3 linked regions of the Ovis aries genome follow. The protein of the gene in region 3 interacts with the protein of the main gene of each other region in a pairwise test. Links are inferred from orthologs where the notes say so. Each region holds a gene or a part of one and is shown on either strand. Other genes may lie near its edges.

Region 1 (6,414 bases), on a different chromosome or scaffold from region 3:
GGCGTAAGTTTAAAAAAAATTGGTAAGTCACAACAACCTTTTAAGGAGATTGGGGGCAGGTATTAGCCTCAAGGCAACTGAGAGATGAACAAAGAGGTCAAATGATTTGCCTAAAGTCACACAGCCAGTAAGTGACTAAGCTAGGATTAGTCCTCGAGACTGTCCAACCGCAGGCCTGTGCTCTTTCACCCCATCCCGTCTGCCTCCCCTTCTCAGGACAAGCCTAACCCTGTCCTCTCTTTTTCTCTCCCTGGCTGTCCCAGGTGGCTATCGCCAGTGTCTTGCACACAGAGGCCCGTCAGCGCCTGAAGGCATCCCCGTATGTGGGCCTGGTGTTGGATGAGACCAAGGACTGGCCTGAGTCCCACCGTCTGGCCTTGTTTGTCACTTCAGTGTCCCCCTGCGATGGCCAGCCTGCCACCACCTTTCTGGGCAGTGTGGAGCTACAGGAAGGCGAGGCCACCGCTGGCCAAGTCCTGGACATCCTGCAGGCTTTTGGCGTGTCTGCATCCAAGCTGGCCTGGCTCAGCTCAAGCCTCCCCAGTGACCGCCTGGGGAGGGTGCGCCCACAGCTCCAGGCCGCCTGCCCACTGCTCACGGAGTTACACTGCCTCCCTGGCCGGACAGACCCCAAGCCCCCTGCCTACCTAGGTGAATATGAAAGTGTACTGGATGCCCTATTCCGCCTGCACGGCGGCCCCAGTTCTCACGTGGTCCCTGAACTCAGGGCGGCACTGGACCTTGCAGCTATTGACTTGGCAGGACCACGGCCAGTGCCCTGGGCCTCCCTGCTGCCTGTGGTGGAAGCTGTGGCTGAGGCTTGGCCTTGCCTGGTGCTCACACTGGAGGCCTCTGCCCCAGCCTCGCCTACCACAAGGGCGCTGGCCCTCGCCCTGCGCCAGTTCACCTTCGTGGCCTTCACCCACCTCCTGCTGGATGTTCTGCCCTCCGTGCAGAAGCTGGCCCTTGTCCTGCAGCCAGAAGAGCCGGATTTGGCCTTGCTGCAGCCTCTGGTGATGGCAGCTACAGCCTCCCTCCACGCACAGTGCAGTTCAGGTGGGGCGCGCCTCCAGGGCTTCCTGCAGGAACTGGCATCCTCTAGCCCCGATTTGGGCTGTGGCCGCTGCACCTACCGCGGCGTGGAGCTGGTGGGCTACTCTGAGACTGCGGTCCAGGGCTTGGAGCGGCTGCGGGGAGCCTTCCTGGACTCCATGCGGAGGGGGCTGCGGGACTCTTACCCTGGGCCCTCGCTGGACGCCGTGGCCGCCTTCGCGGCCATCTTCGACCCCCGCCGCTACCCGCAGGCCCCCGAGGAGCTGGGCGCGCACGGGGAGGGGGCACTCCGCGTCCTGCTGCGCGCCTTCGCCCCCGCTGTGGTGCGCCAGAGGGCGCTGGGCGACTTCGCACTCTTCAAGCGCGTGGTGTGCAGCCTGGGGCGGCTGGGCCCGCGGGCCCTGTGCACCAAGCTGGCGTGCGCGCGCTCAGAACTGCACGAGCTCTTCCCCGACTTCGCCGCCCTGGCCGCACTGGCCTTGGCGCTGCCTGCAGGCGCCGGCCTCCTGGACAAGGTCGGCCGCAGCCGGGAGCTGCGGTGGTGGGGGCCGGGCGGGGCAGGGGAAGGACGGGGCGGCCCCGCGGTGAAGATCGCGGTAGATGGGCCGCCGCTGCACGAGTTTGACTTTGCGCTGGCGGTGGAGTTCCTAGAGAGCGGGTGGGGCGAGGGCCTCCTGGGCTCGCAGCTCACCTGAGAGCGGCCTCCTCTCCTCTGTCCAGCCAGTCTGGGGCCCTGGACTCACTAAGGGCCAAGCCAGACTTGACCTAGCAAGATTACCTCCTAACTGTGGCCTCCCACCCACCTTCCCCGGGCTTCCTCGGCTCCACGCTGAGTACTAACCCGGCTCAGTGGGATGTGGAAGAGGGGCTGGGTCGGGGGTGCTAGTGGGGGCCTGGGCCCGTGGGCAGAGGTGCTAGGGTTTCGGGCACCCTAAATGTCACTCCTGACCTTTCCGGTTCTGTGGGAAGTAGTTCACTCTGTTCCCTCGGAACTCCACTCAAATTTTCTCTCTGGAAAAGCTGAGGGGTCTTGGTTGGAAGGAGGAAGACAGAGCCTCCGCAGTTGAGGGGTTGAAGGCCAGGAGACTGGGTCCTTGACTGTTAGCCCTGCTCCTAGCAACATATCTTCTCTTCAGATATGACTGGGGGAAAAAATGACTGTCTTTATTTTTGACACAGCAGAGCACCCTCTCTGTGAAAAAGCTCAAGGGAAGTAAGAGGTGCCCTCTCCACCAACAGGCTGCCTGAGACTTTTCTGTACTTGGCTGTACGTAGACATCCGCTCCAGTATTCTTGCCTGGAAAATCCCACGGACAGAGGAGCCTGGGAGTCCATAGGGTGGCAAAGAGTCGGACTAGACTGAAGCAACTTCACATAGACATACATACGTATCAATGTGAAATAAATCTATCCTAGCCTCCCTGGTGTTAACACACAAAATCGAAAAGGACTTCTTTTGCTTTTGCAACAACAGGGTTCACAAAAGTCCCAAATGGGCTGAATTTATTTCCAATTTTTTTCTTCCTCAAAGTCTGGCTGTTCTCCAAGTTCCTAACCTTTCCCGATCCTTGCCTCAGATCTCTCTCTCTCTCTCTTTTTTTTTTTTTTTAGCAGTGCTGAGATTTTAGTTCCCTGACCAGGGATTGAACCCAGGCCCCTGCCTCAGACCTTTAAGACCAAAGACTGTATAAACCACAGTGCTGGACTGGTTGAACCCAAGGACCAGGCTCAGGCCTGACCCAGGGGTGTTGGAGGGCTTTTGTCTCCAGTGGAGAGCAGTTGGGCCTCATCGGAGTTGGGGAACACATCCCTTCAGATTCTGGGGGGTTTCCTATCCCCTCTGTCAGTCCTTGCTGTGAGTGTTGTGGGGGATCTGGAGGGGAGTAGTTAGTGAGAGGGGATGGGGCTGGCCTTTCCAAGTCTCCTAGGCTTGGGTTTAATTTGCAATAAAGTGGAAACCCAGTGCATCGTGCAGTCTCCATGGTGGTGTGTGTGTCAGGGGCCCACCCCGACTCCCCTCTGGGGTTCAGTGGGGCCATAATGCTGCCCCTGTGGGGGAGGTGGTCATCCTTCTGGGCTGGGAGCCTAGAACTGTGGGCCCTCTGCTTCCCCTTCCCCTGTGGTGCAGGGGAGAGGCGCAGAAATGGGCTGTAATCACCCTGGGTTTAGCCAGCGCTGCTTTGTGGAGATGGGAGTTTCCGCCCTGGCTCCACAGCCAAGAAGCCCATCAACCTCTTGTTCTGGCTGTGGAGGGAGGAGCGAGCCCTGTAACTCCCTGTTTCAGACCCTGCCCTTCTTCCTCCTGCAGGAGGCCCGGCCTCCGGAGCCCCCAGCCCGCTGCTGGCCTCCCTGGCCCTGCCCGCCAGGCCTCTGCAGCCCCCGCTGGACTTCAAGCACTTGCTCACCTTCCACTTCAATGGCGCCACCCCGCTCAGTCTCTTCCCCAACTTCAGCACGGTACGGGCTGGGTGGGCGGGTGGTGGGAGTGCAACCCAGCATGGGGGTGGGCTGGGAAGGTGGGCTCCCAGGGGCCGGCTCTTAGAAGCTGGGTCCAACCAGGAGCAACATCCCTCCGAGTGACCAGGTGCTCCCAAAATGGGGCCCAGCTCCTGCTTAGGCCAGAATATCCGGGATGCTACTGTCCTCTCCCCTAGCAACTGGTGCTGAGCCTGGAGGGCCTGTGAGCTGCAGGTTTCATCGAGTGTTCATAAAGGGGCACCTGTGGACGATCTGTGTATGTCTGCGTGCCTTTCTGTTTTAGTTTGTCTCTGTAGGACTTTGTGTGTATTTACGGGTGTGAGTTTGTGCACGTGTGCTTGTGAACGCTTTATGCCTGTGTAGCTGTCTGTATGTAGTGTATGTGCCTGGGTATCTGAGTTTTTGTGTGTCGACTGTGTATGTGTTTGGTGTGTGTCTGGCCTCTGCGTGTATGTTTTCATATGGTTTGGATGTGTGCCATTGGTGTGCAGGTGCGTGTGTATCTTTCTGCTTGTTTCTGTGATTTGTAACTACCTGTACGTTTATGTGCTGTGTGTCTGCCTACTAGTCTGTGTACTAGTATTTCCATGTATGTGTGTAAATCTGAAATTTACTTCACTATATGAGCTATAAGGTATACGACCCTTTTAAAAATTTTTTTGAAAAATCAAATGTAATCATTGATGAGCCTCCCCCCATCCTGACAATATGGTGGGAAGCTCTATCTAATCACCCTTGGAAGCCCCTTCCTTCTCACCCTCCAGGGTTGTTCAAAGATCCTAAGGAGCCCAAGACAACTTGGGGGGGGGGTCCTCTGGTTTGTAGTCCCCACTGTCACTTGCTGACATGCTCATTGTTCAGGCACATGGTCCCTACGAGGGGGTCAATCTGCTGTTGTTCTCATCACGGGGGGCCCTGCAGGCCATTCTCCCCTGAAATCCTGTCCCGTCCCGCCACCCACCCACCTCAGCCCCTGGCCCTGGGTGCTGTGAGGGTTAGAACCTCTTTCTGGTCTCAGGGAAGTTTCTGAAACCATGCTCTTCTCTCAAAGCCTGTGTTCTTCTCTCTCAGGAAGGTTTGGAAAGTTCTTCTTGACAAGTAAGCCCCCAACGACTTCTGCTTTTGACACAACAACCCAGCCTTTGAGAAAAGGGAACATAAAGACTTGGTTTGATAGAAGAAACAGAAATTATTTAAAACAAGGAAAAGAAAAAAAATACAAATTCATATTCCAGGGAAATGACCCTACTATTCAGGGAACCCTCTGGCTTCCATCTGCTAATCCTGCTCCCTGCCCCCAGCCTGGTCCCCCACTGCCCCTGGGCTGCGGCTCTCACTCTCAGGCCCTGTGACAGCGGCAAAGCTGATATGGTAAGCTTTCTCTCCCCCAGCCCACAGGCCCAGCACAAGGCTGGGTTATGGGGGAGGAAATTCCAAATTCCCTTCTCCGCTTCTCCCTGCCCTCAACTCTCTGCACACGTAGATGTGATTCTCATGAAGGAGGAAAAAAAGAGACTGGAAGGGCAGCAAGGGAAGCCAGTGTGATCACCAGGCCCTGGTTGTGTTTCTCAAGATCGCAAAAGTCACGTGGCCATCCCCCTGCCTCCAAGCACAAGCCTAGGCCGTCTAAGAGAGTCAGCCAGGGAAGAGGCTTTTCTTTTTCAGTGTTTAATATCCACAGACATAGGAAATTTCTTCCTATGGGCTGACCACTGCCCTCCTGCATAGACTTTAGTTTTGGGCATTTGGCACTGCCCTTTCACCTTACTTAGCTGACCCCACAGTTACTATGCCCTCCCACCCCCTCCACAGATGGACCCGGTCCAGAAAGCTGTCATCAGCCACACATTTGGGGTCCCCTCTCCCCTGAAGAAGAAGCTCTTCATTTCCTGTAACATCTGTCACCTGAGATTCAACTCAGCGGTGAGAGGGAGTTGTGGAAACAGGCTTGGGGGGCGCTGGGCAGGGAGCGGGCTGGACCCTTGGCTTCCAGGTCTTTCCTGCCTGGAGGAATAGGGGTGGCAAAGGGACTGTGGTCTGTATTTTCTGTCCTTCGTTGAGGAAGAGCCGCTCCTGGCCCTTTATCCATCCCATCCTTTCCTCTCTCCAGATTCCTGTGCCCCTTCCCAGCCCATCCCCCTGGGATTCTGTTTTCCTCCCCCTGTGCCTTGCTCCTATGTTCTGGAACCTTCTGATGAGAGCAGGCTGCCCTTCCCTACTCTGGGTCCCAGGGGCCACCATCGGTTCTGGTTTGGGGCTGAGTTCTTAACACGCCTGAGAGTTTACAGAATCTGTTTGTGTCTATCCTCTTAATTAGTTCTCATGATGCATCTGTGAGATGGTTCAAGGTCCCATCCTCAGTCTCATTTCTCAGATGAGGAAACTGAGCTTCAGAGAGGTTAAGTGACTTGCCTGAGGTCATACAACTGGTAATTAGCAGAGCTGGGATTTGAACCCAGGCCTGGCTGACCCCATAGTCCACATACTTCCTAGCAGGGCCTGCCCCTAGAGAGTGGCCTCCAAGGGAATGTTTGCCTTCTGTCCAGACAACTTCTGCAGTTTGGGGAGATGCTGTTGGCAGACCTGCTCTTGTGAAAGCGCCTAAGGAGGGGCCACAGGGCCTTCTTTCCTACTTTGGGGAGCAATAAGCAGGAATCCCTAGTGGATAGGCCAGGTTTGCGAGTTCCTTCCAGGCTTTCAGGTTACATGGGTCATGCAAGTGATGGACGGAGAGACTCACTCTGATAAAGAAACCATGTATTTTTCATGCCAGGCCCAACACAGTGCCTGGCAAATAGCAAATGCTCAGGAACTATTTGTTAAAAAACACGTACAGAAGGATGAATGATCTGGAGTGTATGTTCCTTAAAGCATGGGGACTGC
Region 2 (4,926 bases), on a different chromosome or scaffold from region 3:
ACCACTTTTTGCAAGCTTCCTGAGTTGAGGATTTTTTTTTCTCGTTTATTCACCCCTCAGCCTCTAGAACAGTACCTGGGCTGCAGAGAGCACTCAGTAACTATTGTCAGATGAATAAATCTTAACCAAAATTATAACTACACCAGAAGGATGTAGGGACAGAAAACGCCCTTGTTTCTGGTGGCAGTGGAGTGAAAGAATGAAATACTTACATTTTGTATCAGGAAAATGATAGATAAAGCCTAAAACTGAAAATGTAAAGAGGTAGTGACAGAAGCATGTGATTTGGAGATACAAAGTAAATACCAAAAACAAAGCAAAACTGTAAAAGGATTTGTCTCTGGGGAGAGAGAAATGGGAAGACTGTTGGTTTTTCGTTTTCTTAAGCCCTATACTGTCCTTCAATTATTTTAATCTGTGCGCATATGTAGTGGGTTGCATGGTAGCCCCCTAAAAGATATGTCAGTGTCTTAACCTCTGGAAGCAATGAATGCAGTGTTTTTTGGAAAAAGGGTCTTTGCAGATATAATTACAGATTGTGAATAACATTATCCTGGATTATCTAGGTGAGCCATAAATCAAATTGCTAGTGTTCTTTTAAGACAGAGGAGAGAAAGGCAAAGAAAGGAAGGCTGTGTGAAGACAGAAGCAGAGCTTGGAGTGATGTAGCCACAAGCCATGAAGTGCCTGGAGTCACATGAAGATGGAAAAGGCAAGGAAGGATTTTCCCCTAGAGGCATATATGGGAAGGTGGTGCTACTGACACCTTGATCATGGACTTCTGGCCTCCAGAACTGTCAGAGAATCCATTTCTGCTGTTTAAAACCACCCAGGTTTGTGGTAATTTGTTACAGTAGCCCTAGGAATTGAATATAGCCCGAGTATCTGAGATGAAATAAAAATAAGAAACTTTATTGATGTTCTACACCACATGGCTTAAGAGTACAAAAAATAAACATGCAGAAAAAGCACTAGGTGAAACTCAACACCTATTCATGCTTCAAAAAACACCCAACCCTTAATGAACTAGGAAGAGCCCAGGCCTTCCTTAACCTAATAAAAGACATGTATCAAGAACTTATAGCAAGAGATTTCCCTGACAGTCCAGTGGTTAGGACTCCAAGCTTCCACTGCAAGGGGAATGGGTTTGTCCCTGGTCAGGGAAACTCAAGATCGTGCATGCTGCTCTGGGTGGCCAAAACAAAAGAACAAAACCTATAGGAGGCACCATATTGCAAGCATCATACATAGCAGTGAAACTATGGGAACAAGTTTCCCATAGGTCAGGAACAAGACACCATCAGCTTCTATTTACTCCTGTGCTAAATCCTCACCAGAGCAGAAAAACAAAACAAGAAGACAACTTTAATTGCTCCTAGGTCAGCAAGACTGACCCAGGAAAGGGAAAGATTAGAGGTCAACTAAGAGGGAGTAATAGAAGGTGGGTGGAGATGGTTGGTGATGGCTGATGTGCAGGCATAGCAGAGTAGAGCCAGGTCCCCAGCATCCCCAGGCCTGGGAGCCAGAGCAGGGGAAAGGAAAGATGTGGAAGTAGGATGGTTGGGAGCTGACCAGATGAGGTTAGAGCTGAGAGGTTGCTCTCAGTGCTGAGGGGTGTTCCCAGGGGTGATGATGCAGTGCCCACCCCACTGCCCAGCATGGGCAACTCCCTCGCCTCCTCCCCATGGGTGATGACTTCCTTCACAGCAGTCTCCACATGTAAACATCTACACTCATCAGTACAAAAAGCTTCAGCCTTTATTAAATAAAGAGGAGGTAGAAGACAGATGCAGAAACAGACTTGGGACCCCCCTCCTCCTGGCTACACATATACAGACACAGACACAACTGAGAAAAGGACAGGGACATTTCAGGGGACAGACTGAGGGGCAGAGGGAGGCAGCACCCTGCGAGAGTGGGCTCGGACCCAAGGGTGGGCAGAGACCTGGGCCAGCGGCAGGCGTTCTGAGGGGTTATGCTTGAGCAGCTTGGAGATGAGGTCCTGGGCTCCCATGGGCACAGAAGGAGGGAACTTTAGGTCCACCTGCAAGAAGGAGAGACAGGCTTCATCCTAGCTGCTTTTGCCTCCACTTCCCACTCTATTAGCAGGGTTTAACATCAACAGCAACAGTGTGCCCACTCCCTGCCCCAGCCCCTGAGCTGGCACAAACTCCAGCCAGACCCCGGGGGCCAGCCTCCCACCTTGACAATGCGCCGGTACGTCTCATTGTGGGAAGCACTCTCGAAGGGCGGGTTTCCCACCAGCAGCTCGTAGCAAAGCACGCCGATGCACCACAGGTCCACCTTCTCATTGTGCGTGCGCCCCTCAATCATCTCTGGGGGCAGGTAGTCCAGAGTGCCGCACATTGTCTTCCTCCTGGGGTGGGGCGGGGGAAGAGGGGGAGTGGGCAGGGATCTCAGATCCAGACTTTCCCTCCTTTCCCTGCAGCCTGACAGGGAGCCCAGACCGACCACAGGATGTGCCAGGGGTCTTCCAACCAGGCTCTGATGGGGTCTTTGGGGTAGGAGTGGGGCTAGCACACTGACTCTGCATTTCCACACTGAGGGCCGTACCTTAAAATAAATCAGATATGAGGGCAACGTTCACCTTAGAATTATAGGAAGAATTTCAGATGTTCATCAATCACATGTTGCTTAATCACATTACATTTCTACTGTGCAATACTATGAAGCCACTAAAAATGATGTGGGAGTATTCTCAGTGATATGGCAAGAAGGTCCCATTGTTTCAAGTGAGAAATCTGAGTGACAAAACTGAGACTCCTATTTTTGTTTTTGGCCACGCTGCACGGTTTGCAGGATCTTAGTTCCCTCGACCAGGGATTGAACCTGGGCCCCCTGCAGTGAAAGCTGGAGTCCTAACCACTGGACCAGCAGGGAACTCCCAAAGTCTCCTATTTTTGTAAAGATATTGCTGTGTCTATATATTTACATGAGAACAACCCAAAATGTCTCTGGGTAACAAGATCTGAAGTGGTTTTATTTTGAATGGCTTCATACCCAGGGCTGGCCTTCTGGCCCACCATACCTCAGGGAGGGGGCATGCACCGACCAGCCAAAGTCAGCAATCTTCAGCTCACCCCGGAGCCCCAAGAGCAGATTCTCTGGCTTGATGTCTCTGTGAATCACCTTCTTTGCATGGCAGTACGTCAGAGCATCTGCCAGCTCCTCCATGATCTGGGGGGCCAATGGCAGACAGTCAGAAGAGGACTGACCTCAGGCGGCAAATGGCATCCCCCAGCCTCCAGGCCCCTGCCAGTGCCCCAGGTGCCCACCCGCCCCGACCGTGGCTGTTCGCTGCTCATCAAAAGTTCGGCTCTTCTGCAGCTCCTTGTAGAGCTCCCCCTGGGGGGCATACTCCAGAATCAAGTAGATCCTTCGCCGGTCATAGAAATAGTTGTAGAGACGCAAGATGTTGGGATGTCTGGGAGAGGAGACAGAGGAGGCATCAGGCTGCATTCTGGCCTAAGGAAATGGGAAAGATGACAGGTCGCATTGGGGCAAACTGGGTCAGGTCTGGGCCAGGTAGGGGAAGCCAGTTGGCAGTCCTAATTGGGGACCGGAGGTGATTTTCTGGATTCAAGGCTCTGGCTGGGATTGAGAGCTCATTGGGGCTGCGTGGCCACAGCTACAGAGAAGACAGTCTAGATGTGGTGGGGTTGGAGGAGGAGTGGGGTTGGGGCGGCAGGGGCTCTGGCTCAGGGGACGTTGAGCGTACTGGAGATGGGCTTGGATTTCGATCTCTCTACGCAGCTGGTGCTCCACACCCTCCTTCTCGATCTGAGACTTGAAGAGGACTTTGAGTGCCACGATGAAATGGCTTTTCTTCTCCCGAGCCAAGTACACATTTCCAAACTTGCCTTTGCCCAGAGGACGCCCAATCTCAAAGTCATCGATTGTGAAGGAACGCCTGTTTGGGAAGCAGTGGTGGAGCAGCTGAGCAGTGGTTAGTTGGTCCTCTGAGGTGTTTGCCTTCTTTCTGGACCTCTGCCCCTCCTGCCTGCAATCCTGCTTCTCTTCCAGGGGAGCTGAGGATGGATCAGGCTTTCTCACCTGCATCCCTCCTCCTCCTGCCTTTATTCCACCCCGTCCCTTGCTACCTCAAAGCTTGGGGAGCTTACTTTGGGATGTTGAGGGTCCCACTGCTGTTCTCCACCACCTTCTGGCCAGGGGCAGCTAAGGAAAGAACAGGGAAGTTGAGGCCATCCTTTGACATTTTCATCCCCACCCACCCTCTGCAGACCCTAGTTCCCTCAGGTCAGTCCCCTCCCTTTGTGCTAGTTTACCTGTGGGCTGGGCATTGGAGCGACTCATGAGGACAAGCGCCGATGGGATGACAGCCTCCTTCCGGAGAACTCTCTGGGGCAGGGTGTTCAGGCCAGGCTGAGCCTGAGAAGGACCAGAGGGGAGCTCTGAGGGTGCCTTTATCCCAGTGACCGGGTTGGAATGCGCTACAAGCAGCATTTCAGGGCTTGCTATAAAGCCACCCACCTACCCCACCCCATCCCCAGTTCAAAGAGGAACAATGAGGCCACAATTTTGCTACTCAGTCTTGTCCATAACACCACTCATTTACCTAGCCCCCTACCCCAAAGGGCAGTAGAGGCTGGGGTAATGAACACCCACAATTCAAGGAGCTTCAGAACAGAGGTATTCTCACAGTTCCCTAAGCTTGGTCTGTTAAGGCTCAGATAAGATCCTTGGGGCCTTGAGTGTTCAGCAAATCTCAGTATTTACCGCTTTGCAACAACAGGCTTTAGGGAAAGTGAAGGCTATTCTAATTGTCCTGGAGCACTGTCACTGTCAACTTCTGAGTAACACACCACTTTCTTCTGGGAGTGACTGGTGTAGACATGACAGTGTCATCTCATTCAGCCTCCCCATTCAGAGCTTCACCGGGGAGGG
Region 3 (6,414 bases):
GCAACTGAGCCCATGCACCACAACTATGGGACCTGTGCTCTAGAGCCCAGGAGCCACAGCTGTTGAAGGCCACGCACCCTATAGCCTGTGCTCGGCAACAAGAGAAGCCACCACAGTGAGAAGCCCACGCATCACAACTAGAGAGCAGCCCCTGCTCTCCACAACTAGAGAAAAGCCTGCACAACAACAAAGACCCAAAAATAAAATTTTTTAAAAAATTTTAATAAAATCAGTTTGCAACTTCCTGAAAATGTCTGATTCGAATTTCAGAGAACCCCCCCCAAGTTTTATTAATAAATAATTGACATGCATCACTACATTAAATTTAAGGTGCACAGCATAAAGGTTTGATTTATATACACTGTGAAATGCAATGATTACCACAGGTTTAGGTAATATCCATCATGTCACATAGATACAATAAAAAAAGTTCAAGTACATCTTGATGAAAGTTCATTTCTTAAGGGTATAAAAGGTTAATAAGATGCTGGGAAAACAGATAACTGTAGTACAGATATCACTGAATATCTCACTAAATTTCATACCTGCAGCCGAAAGGTCTAACAGCACTGTAGAGTGTATACGCGTGTACATACATGGCCACTCTGTCTGCAAGATGCTGTGGGGGTAAAACAGAAGAGTTTATTAAGACTCTTCTCTTGCTGTTCCAGAGGCTCAACCGTTACCAACTTACTTTTAGTGGAATGTTATATCCAAAGTTAGATCTAAAGTTGGAAGCCTCTTCTCTTGCAATGTCTGCTAAAGAACGAGCATCTGCCAACAAACCTGCTACTGCCTGAAAAAACAAAAAGTACCAATTACCATTCCTACCACAAATGAAGGAAAAGCACGTGACTGTGACAGGCTTACTTGATATTTTTAACAAGCATCATCATTAGAATCAATTAGTTAGGCTTAAAGGTCTTTGCAAGAATCAGACACAAATTAGTGACCAAACCACCATCTTTGCAAGGCATCCTGGAACTTCGATGCTTGAGTATGGGATATCAATTTGGAAATTTCCCAACTGTGACTTCATTCTTTTGTCAAATGACCACATTAAAAAAAACTCCATGTCTCCCTATTTCCCACTTCATTATAAAGACTAAAACAACCACAAAGAAGAATAAAACCATGCATGGGTTTTGGTTACAACTGGTTTTTAATTTAAAGCCATTCTATGTTTAAAAAGTTATTAAAGGTTTTGATTTAAAAGGCATAACCTCAAAACTCCTTTCTTTTTCAGTGTACCAATGAACTGTAATGCCGAACCAAAACATGACAGACCACAAACCTAGTGGCTTACAGCTGCAATTACCAAACCACACACTGAGATATCCCAGGGAACTACAGTGAACTCAGAGTTGTGGGGTGCTGTAAGTTTTGGGGGAAACACATATTGAAGTAGTTCAGTTTCAACATCAGATCATTCCACATTCCTTTCAATGCCATCGGATCACTGAGAAGCTGGGGCTGCTGTGATAGAAAATAAGCACTGTGCAAAAATCTGTGAAACAGGAAGCAGAGTCGGGTGGGGCACAGCCATCTAATCCAATTCCAAACTTTAAGACACTGAACAGTACACGTTAGTAGTAGTAGTTGTTTGAAAATAAAAACATTTTTATTTTACTGTCATATGGTGAGGTTTTGTTTTTATAGCTACTAAGTTTTTAGAACATAAACAGTTATTTAGACCTACATATATAATACACAGAACCACTGGGTATTTCTTTAGGTCTAGGGAAGCCATGAAAACAGAAATGTTGAAACAGTTACAGGTACTGGAAACCACTGACATAAGAAGATTTTCAGAATAAATGTTATCAAAAATTTTAATAAAAAAAATTTTAATAGCCTTTTCTTCTACTGCTACCTAGTAATAGTAATGATTATGAAAATCCTTAATCCATTATTGATCACTCATGACATGCTAAGCATTTTACATAATTACACATGAGGACAGGCACTATTACCACCATAGTTTTGCAGGTGAGGGAACTGGAGTTTAGAGTAACCCAGGTAGTAATTTTCATGATTTAAATAATCTTCCATTGCTTTGGATAAAACTCACTGTGAAGTTTAGTAATTTGTCAAATCACTTGAAGATGACAACTGTGGAGACAGACTATCAATCCTTTTTTCCTCCAACCTTCTTCAATGTCTAATATTTTGCCAATTTCCAGTTGCATGGAATGCCATCAGTTTTTAATAACAAATGGGACAAATTTGAAAATTCTAGGAAAATCTTTCCACCACTGAACTATCTATAAGCATATATGATTTTTTTCAAAATACACCTACCGAAAGCTATCTTTTTTACTAAGTAAAAGAAAGCAGAATTCACTAATTCCCTTCTATCAGTTAGGTTACAATCTGGCCAAGTTTCAGGAAAACATACCAGCTTCATTGGCAGTAATAAATCTGTTCAGGAGAGAAAACAGATTCAGAAAAATAACTGAAGGAAAAAAAATGTATCTGTAGCTTTATAGATTACTGGTTATATTTTGCTAGTCCTTTCTGTGTTGTGTGTAACACATCTTATTTAGAAATACTAATCATATTTCTAAATAAGCTATTTAGAAGCTGAAAGCTAGCTGAAGCTACCAATACTTCAGCAGAATAAGTGGACCCTACAGAATCTCACCCTGAAGAATGGGCTCTAGAGTAACACACAGACCATGGAGACCCAAGTAAGAATCCCAGCACATTTCGTTACCAGTTGAGTGTTTCCTCATCTGTAAAAATGGGATTAATATTACTTTCACTGGTTTGTCAAGATTACATGAGATAATTTATGTAAAGAACTTCTGGCATAGTACCTAGCACACAGAATACGTATTCACTTTTCTTCCTTGACTTTTCAGAAAGCAGGGTTAAAAATCACTTTTCTCTTTTTTCCGGACTATTATACCTACTAAAGAAAGTCTGATATTTATACAGAATGACTTCAGTATATCCCAGTAATCTATTTATGTCATACCAGCTGCATGAAATAAATATAGTGATGCTTATGAAGCTACTAAAAAGGATGTACTCACTCTTCCTTTTGTCAGACATCCCTTCCTGATACTCCACCTTACTATGAAGGTATTCTCTTTCTGATAACATCTTCAGTGTGACAGTTATCCCCAGAAAGGACACAAAAAACTAAAGACTTATTGCCTCTCAAGCATGTGCCTTGATTGGCGATCTATGCTGCCAAGATTTTTTACCCAAGCTTCTCACTCCTCTCCCCTCCTCATTTGCTTCAACTTGGTTTTTCCTATGTATCTCCAATTGGGTTATAAGAATGCCACCAGTATTCTTCCTGGAAAATTCCATGGGCAGAGGAGCTTGGTGGGCTACAGTCCATGGAGTCACAAAGAGTTGGACATGACTGAGCAACTGAGCATGCATGCACGCACCTTTCTTTTAGACAGTGAACTGTTCACAAACCAGTCTTTCCGATTATTTCTATGGCTGCTCTCTGATCTGTTTTTGCCTCAATGCTAAAGTCATAAATAGGTTCTTATAATTACATTTTGATATATTCCAATTAATTACATCACAAGAAACAGGACAAAGCAAAAAGGAACATTTTTAAATGTGACCTTACCATTCCAACATGTCGATCAACATTAAAAAGTCGTTTGTTGGAACCTTCTTCATAAAGTTTAGACAGGACTAATTTTTCTACCCCAAAGACGACGCCATCTTTACATCTGATTCCAATAGCTGTACTGAAACAAGTAGAAAAAAAATCAATTTAACTGAAAATAAAACAAACTTTGTAAACTCAAGTTAAAAGAAACAAAAAACAGGCAAATTTGTTTCTTAGAATATATCAAGTTTTTAAAGCAAATACATTTGAAAACTAGAAAAGGCAAGTATCCTAAAGTGTGATGAATTGGATCCATACAAATAATCATGTCATGACATGGAAAGACAATAATACACAAATGAAAAAGATGCTAACAAAATGTGTAACAAGTGGCACAGTATCTAGCATATGCTGGCTGTCTTATGACAAATGCTGACTAGCCATGTCCATTAAAAATGGTATATAACATGCACACAAATGATAGGCTACATACAAACTAAAAAGTTAACAGTTTCTAATCTGGGTGGAAAGATTATAATCCTTTCCCCTCCTTTTGCTTTTTCTGCATTAACAATGTGTTGCTTACAGTAAGTGTAAAAGAATAAACATTCTGTTCAACTGTTTAAAACAAAATTGATCAAAAAAACAAGTAAAATGTGGAGAAATTATACACCGCCATTTTAAGAAAAAACAATTATTTTAAATCTTCTAATTCTTTTAACAAAGAGCATCTATCAGAAACAACCAGAAAAATGAACTGAGCCACATGCACAAATTTTGTAAAGAATTTCAGACACTCCTTCCCCCACACTTCAGGTACCTTTTCAAGTTTAAATTCCTTGGTCCAAACTTCCTAACTCCCAAGAATCTGCAAAACCCATCTAGCTAATTCAATTTCATATTATAAATTCTGTGCTCTACTGAATTCAACCTCATTGTTGTCCCTCAAACACCATTTTTGCTTTCAAGTCTTTATTGAAGTTATCCTGGGTACTAGAATACACTTCCTCCTCACCGCAGCACGTTTAAATAAATTTCCACAAACTTTCTCAAGTTTACTTGAATAGTCTCAGACAGCCTTTCCCAGTTATTACAATTTCTCATCTTCCTCATTTTTCAGAATCTAAAATGTCTTTTTCCCTAAACCAAAAGTTCTCAAAGTGTGGTCTGTCAGGTCAAAATTATCTTTATAAAAATACAGAAACATCATTTGACTTTCTTCATTGTGTGGATGTTTGCACCAATGGTATTGGCTGACAATAAACGGTAGCAGTAAATACCACTCATTGTATTCTTTATAGCTACGCTCAGTTATTTTTTTCAAAAAAACATTTTTAGTTAAGCATGTCCCTGATAAAGTTGTAGTTAATTTTATTAGACATTAATCCTTAAGTATCTATCTTTTTATTATCCTAACAAAAAGCAAGTTAGCCAAGTTCTTCTGCTGCACATCAAAATATGATGGTTGCATATAGGAAAAAGCACTAATAAACTGCTTTCAAATGTAAATTTTTTCATGGAACATCTGTTTTTACCATCAAAGAATAATAACTATGGTTATTTACACTTAGGTATGTGGCAGACTTTTCTCTAAAATGAACAAAACGAGCCTGTCACTTCAAGGAAAACAAAAGAGTATTCTTGCCAGTGATAAAATCTGAGTTTTCAAACACAAACTGGAGTTTTGGAAAACATATTGGTGGTGATATTTAAAAATGTGATGTTTCTAACAGTTTATAATGAAATATGTCTACTTTGGAAGGTCTGTTATAACTCAGTGAACCAATATTTTCCAAATGACCAACACACAATGTTATAAATCGTGCATAGATAAAACACGCAAAGTACAAAACAGTGCAATAGATCTTAATAACAGTACAAAATTCATTATTATGTTTTCAGACTCCACACTACAACTAACCTTTACGATACTAAAATTTGTCCAGTACGGTACAGTATTAATAAACAACATGCATAAGGTTATTAAATGACTCCTCTCTTTTCCAACTACGTATGTATATGAAGCCTGATTTGTGGCACAAACTTCAACAAAAGTTACAACATACTGAAGCAGCAGCAACTATGAGACTCTGCCCTTTATTAAGATTCAATTCATCACTGAGATTTTCAAGAATGTAAAACAATGTAACTCTTCTCACCACACTTTTTTCCCATGCTTTGGAAAAGTAATTTTCATTAAAAATGTTATTGTTACTTAAGTATTTTAATAAATGTTAACATAATTTTTGTTAACATGTAATTTTATTACTGTTATTTAAATAAATTTAGAAGTATTTTTTTGTTTTAATTTCTAATAGTAAATACAGATGAACCAATAACCTGCATAAATAAATGCTCTTTGGGGTCAGCATTATGGTAAATACTTATAGAACCTAAGAGCCTACTTAATTAAATATTCATCAAGGTTCTAATGATTTTTTTCCAAGTATAAGGATGTCCTAAGACCACAATTTTGTGTACGTTTTTGTTCTAAACAATCTAGCCTCACAATTATGTTGCACAATCTTCCTTTCATATCTTGTCCCCTCAATGAGGATAAACTGAAAAATTATAATTTAACTCCTTTTTTTCTCTTGCATATTACCTTCTAGGGGCATCCTTTTATAAAATAGTTATGATCACCATATGTAGGTTTTTTTCAATAGTGTTTTAAGTATCCTCTCATATGTTCTTAATTATATGTTTTGGTAGTTCCTGTCCCTAACAAAGTGAAGTGAAGTGAAGTCGCTTAGTTGTGTCCGACTCTTTGCGACCCCATGGACTGTAGCCTACCAGGCTCCTTGGTCCGTGGGATTTTCCAGGCAAGAGTACTG

Evidence for each region.
Region 1: the proteins of PSMA3 (region 3) and ZNF385C interact in a two-hybrid assay, tested with the Homo sapiens proteins (2 studies listed by BioGRID). The two-hybrid records come from large-scale screens. The link is inferred for Ovis aries from reciprocal best matches to the Homo sapiens genes PSMA3 and ZNF385C.
Region 2: the proteins of PSMA3 (region 3) and AURKB interact in a two-hybrid assay, tested with the Homo sapiens proteins (2 studies listed by BioGRID and IntAct). The link is inferred for Ovis aries from reciprocal best matches to the Homo sapiens genes PSMA3 and AURKB.

The regions. Positions count from the first base shown.
Region 1 is NC_056064.1:41,917,444-41,923,857, reverse strand, and holds part of ZNF385C (zinc finger protein 385C), read left to right. Parts: intron 1-263; coding exon of another isoform or gene 264-1,748; exon of another isoform or gene 1,749-3,020; intron 3,021-3,361; coding exon 3,362-3,510; intron 3,511-5,343; coding exon 5,344-5,454; intron 5,455-6,414. Other genes in the region: C11H17orf113 (uncharacterized protein C17orf113 homolog), read left to right, coding at 264-1,748.
Region 2 is NC_056064.1:27,651,347-27,656,272, forward strand, and holds the end of AURKB (aurora kinase B), read right to left. Parts: exon of another isoform or gene 4,411-4,926; coding exon 4,308-4,410; exon of another isoform or gene 4,198-4,307; coding exon 4,143-4,197; exon of another isoform or gene 3,932-4,142; coding exon 3,740-3,931; exon of another isoform or gene 3,446-3,739; coding exon 3,307-3,445; coding exon of another isoform or gene 3,297-3,306; exon of another isoform or gene 3,199-3,296; coding exon 3,050-3,198; exon of another isoform or gene 2,378-3,049; coding exon 2,203-2,377; exon of another isoform or gene 2,045-2,202; coding exon 1,871-2,044; 3' UTR 1,737-1,870; downstream 1-1,736. UniProt on the Homo sapiens protein: Serine/threonine-protein kinase component of the chromosomal passenger complex (CPC), a complex that acts as a key regulator of mitosis.
Region 3 is NC_056060.1:68,612,828-68,619,241, reverse strand, and holds part of PSMA3 (proteasome subunit alpha type-3), read right to left. Parts: intron 3,720-6,414; coding exon 3,596-3,719; intron 797-3,595; coding exon 695-796; intron 620-694; coding exon 546-619; intron 1-545. UniProt on the Homo sapiens protein: Component of the 20S core proteasome complex involved in the proteolytic degradation of most intracellular proteins. This complex plays numerous essential roles within the cell by associating with different regulatory particles.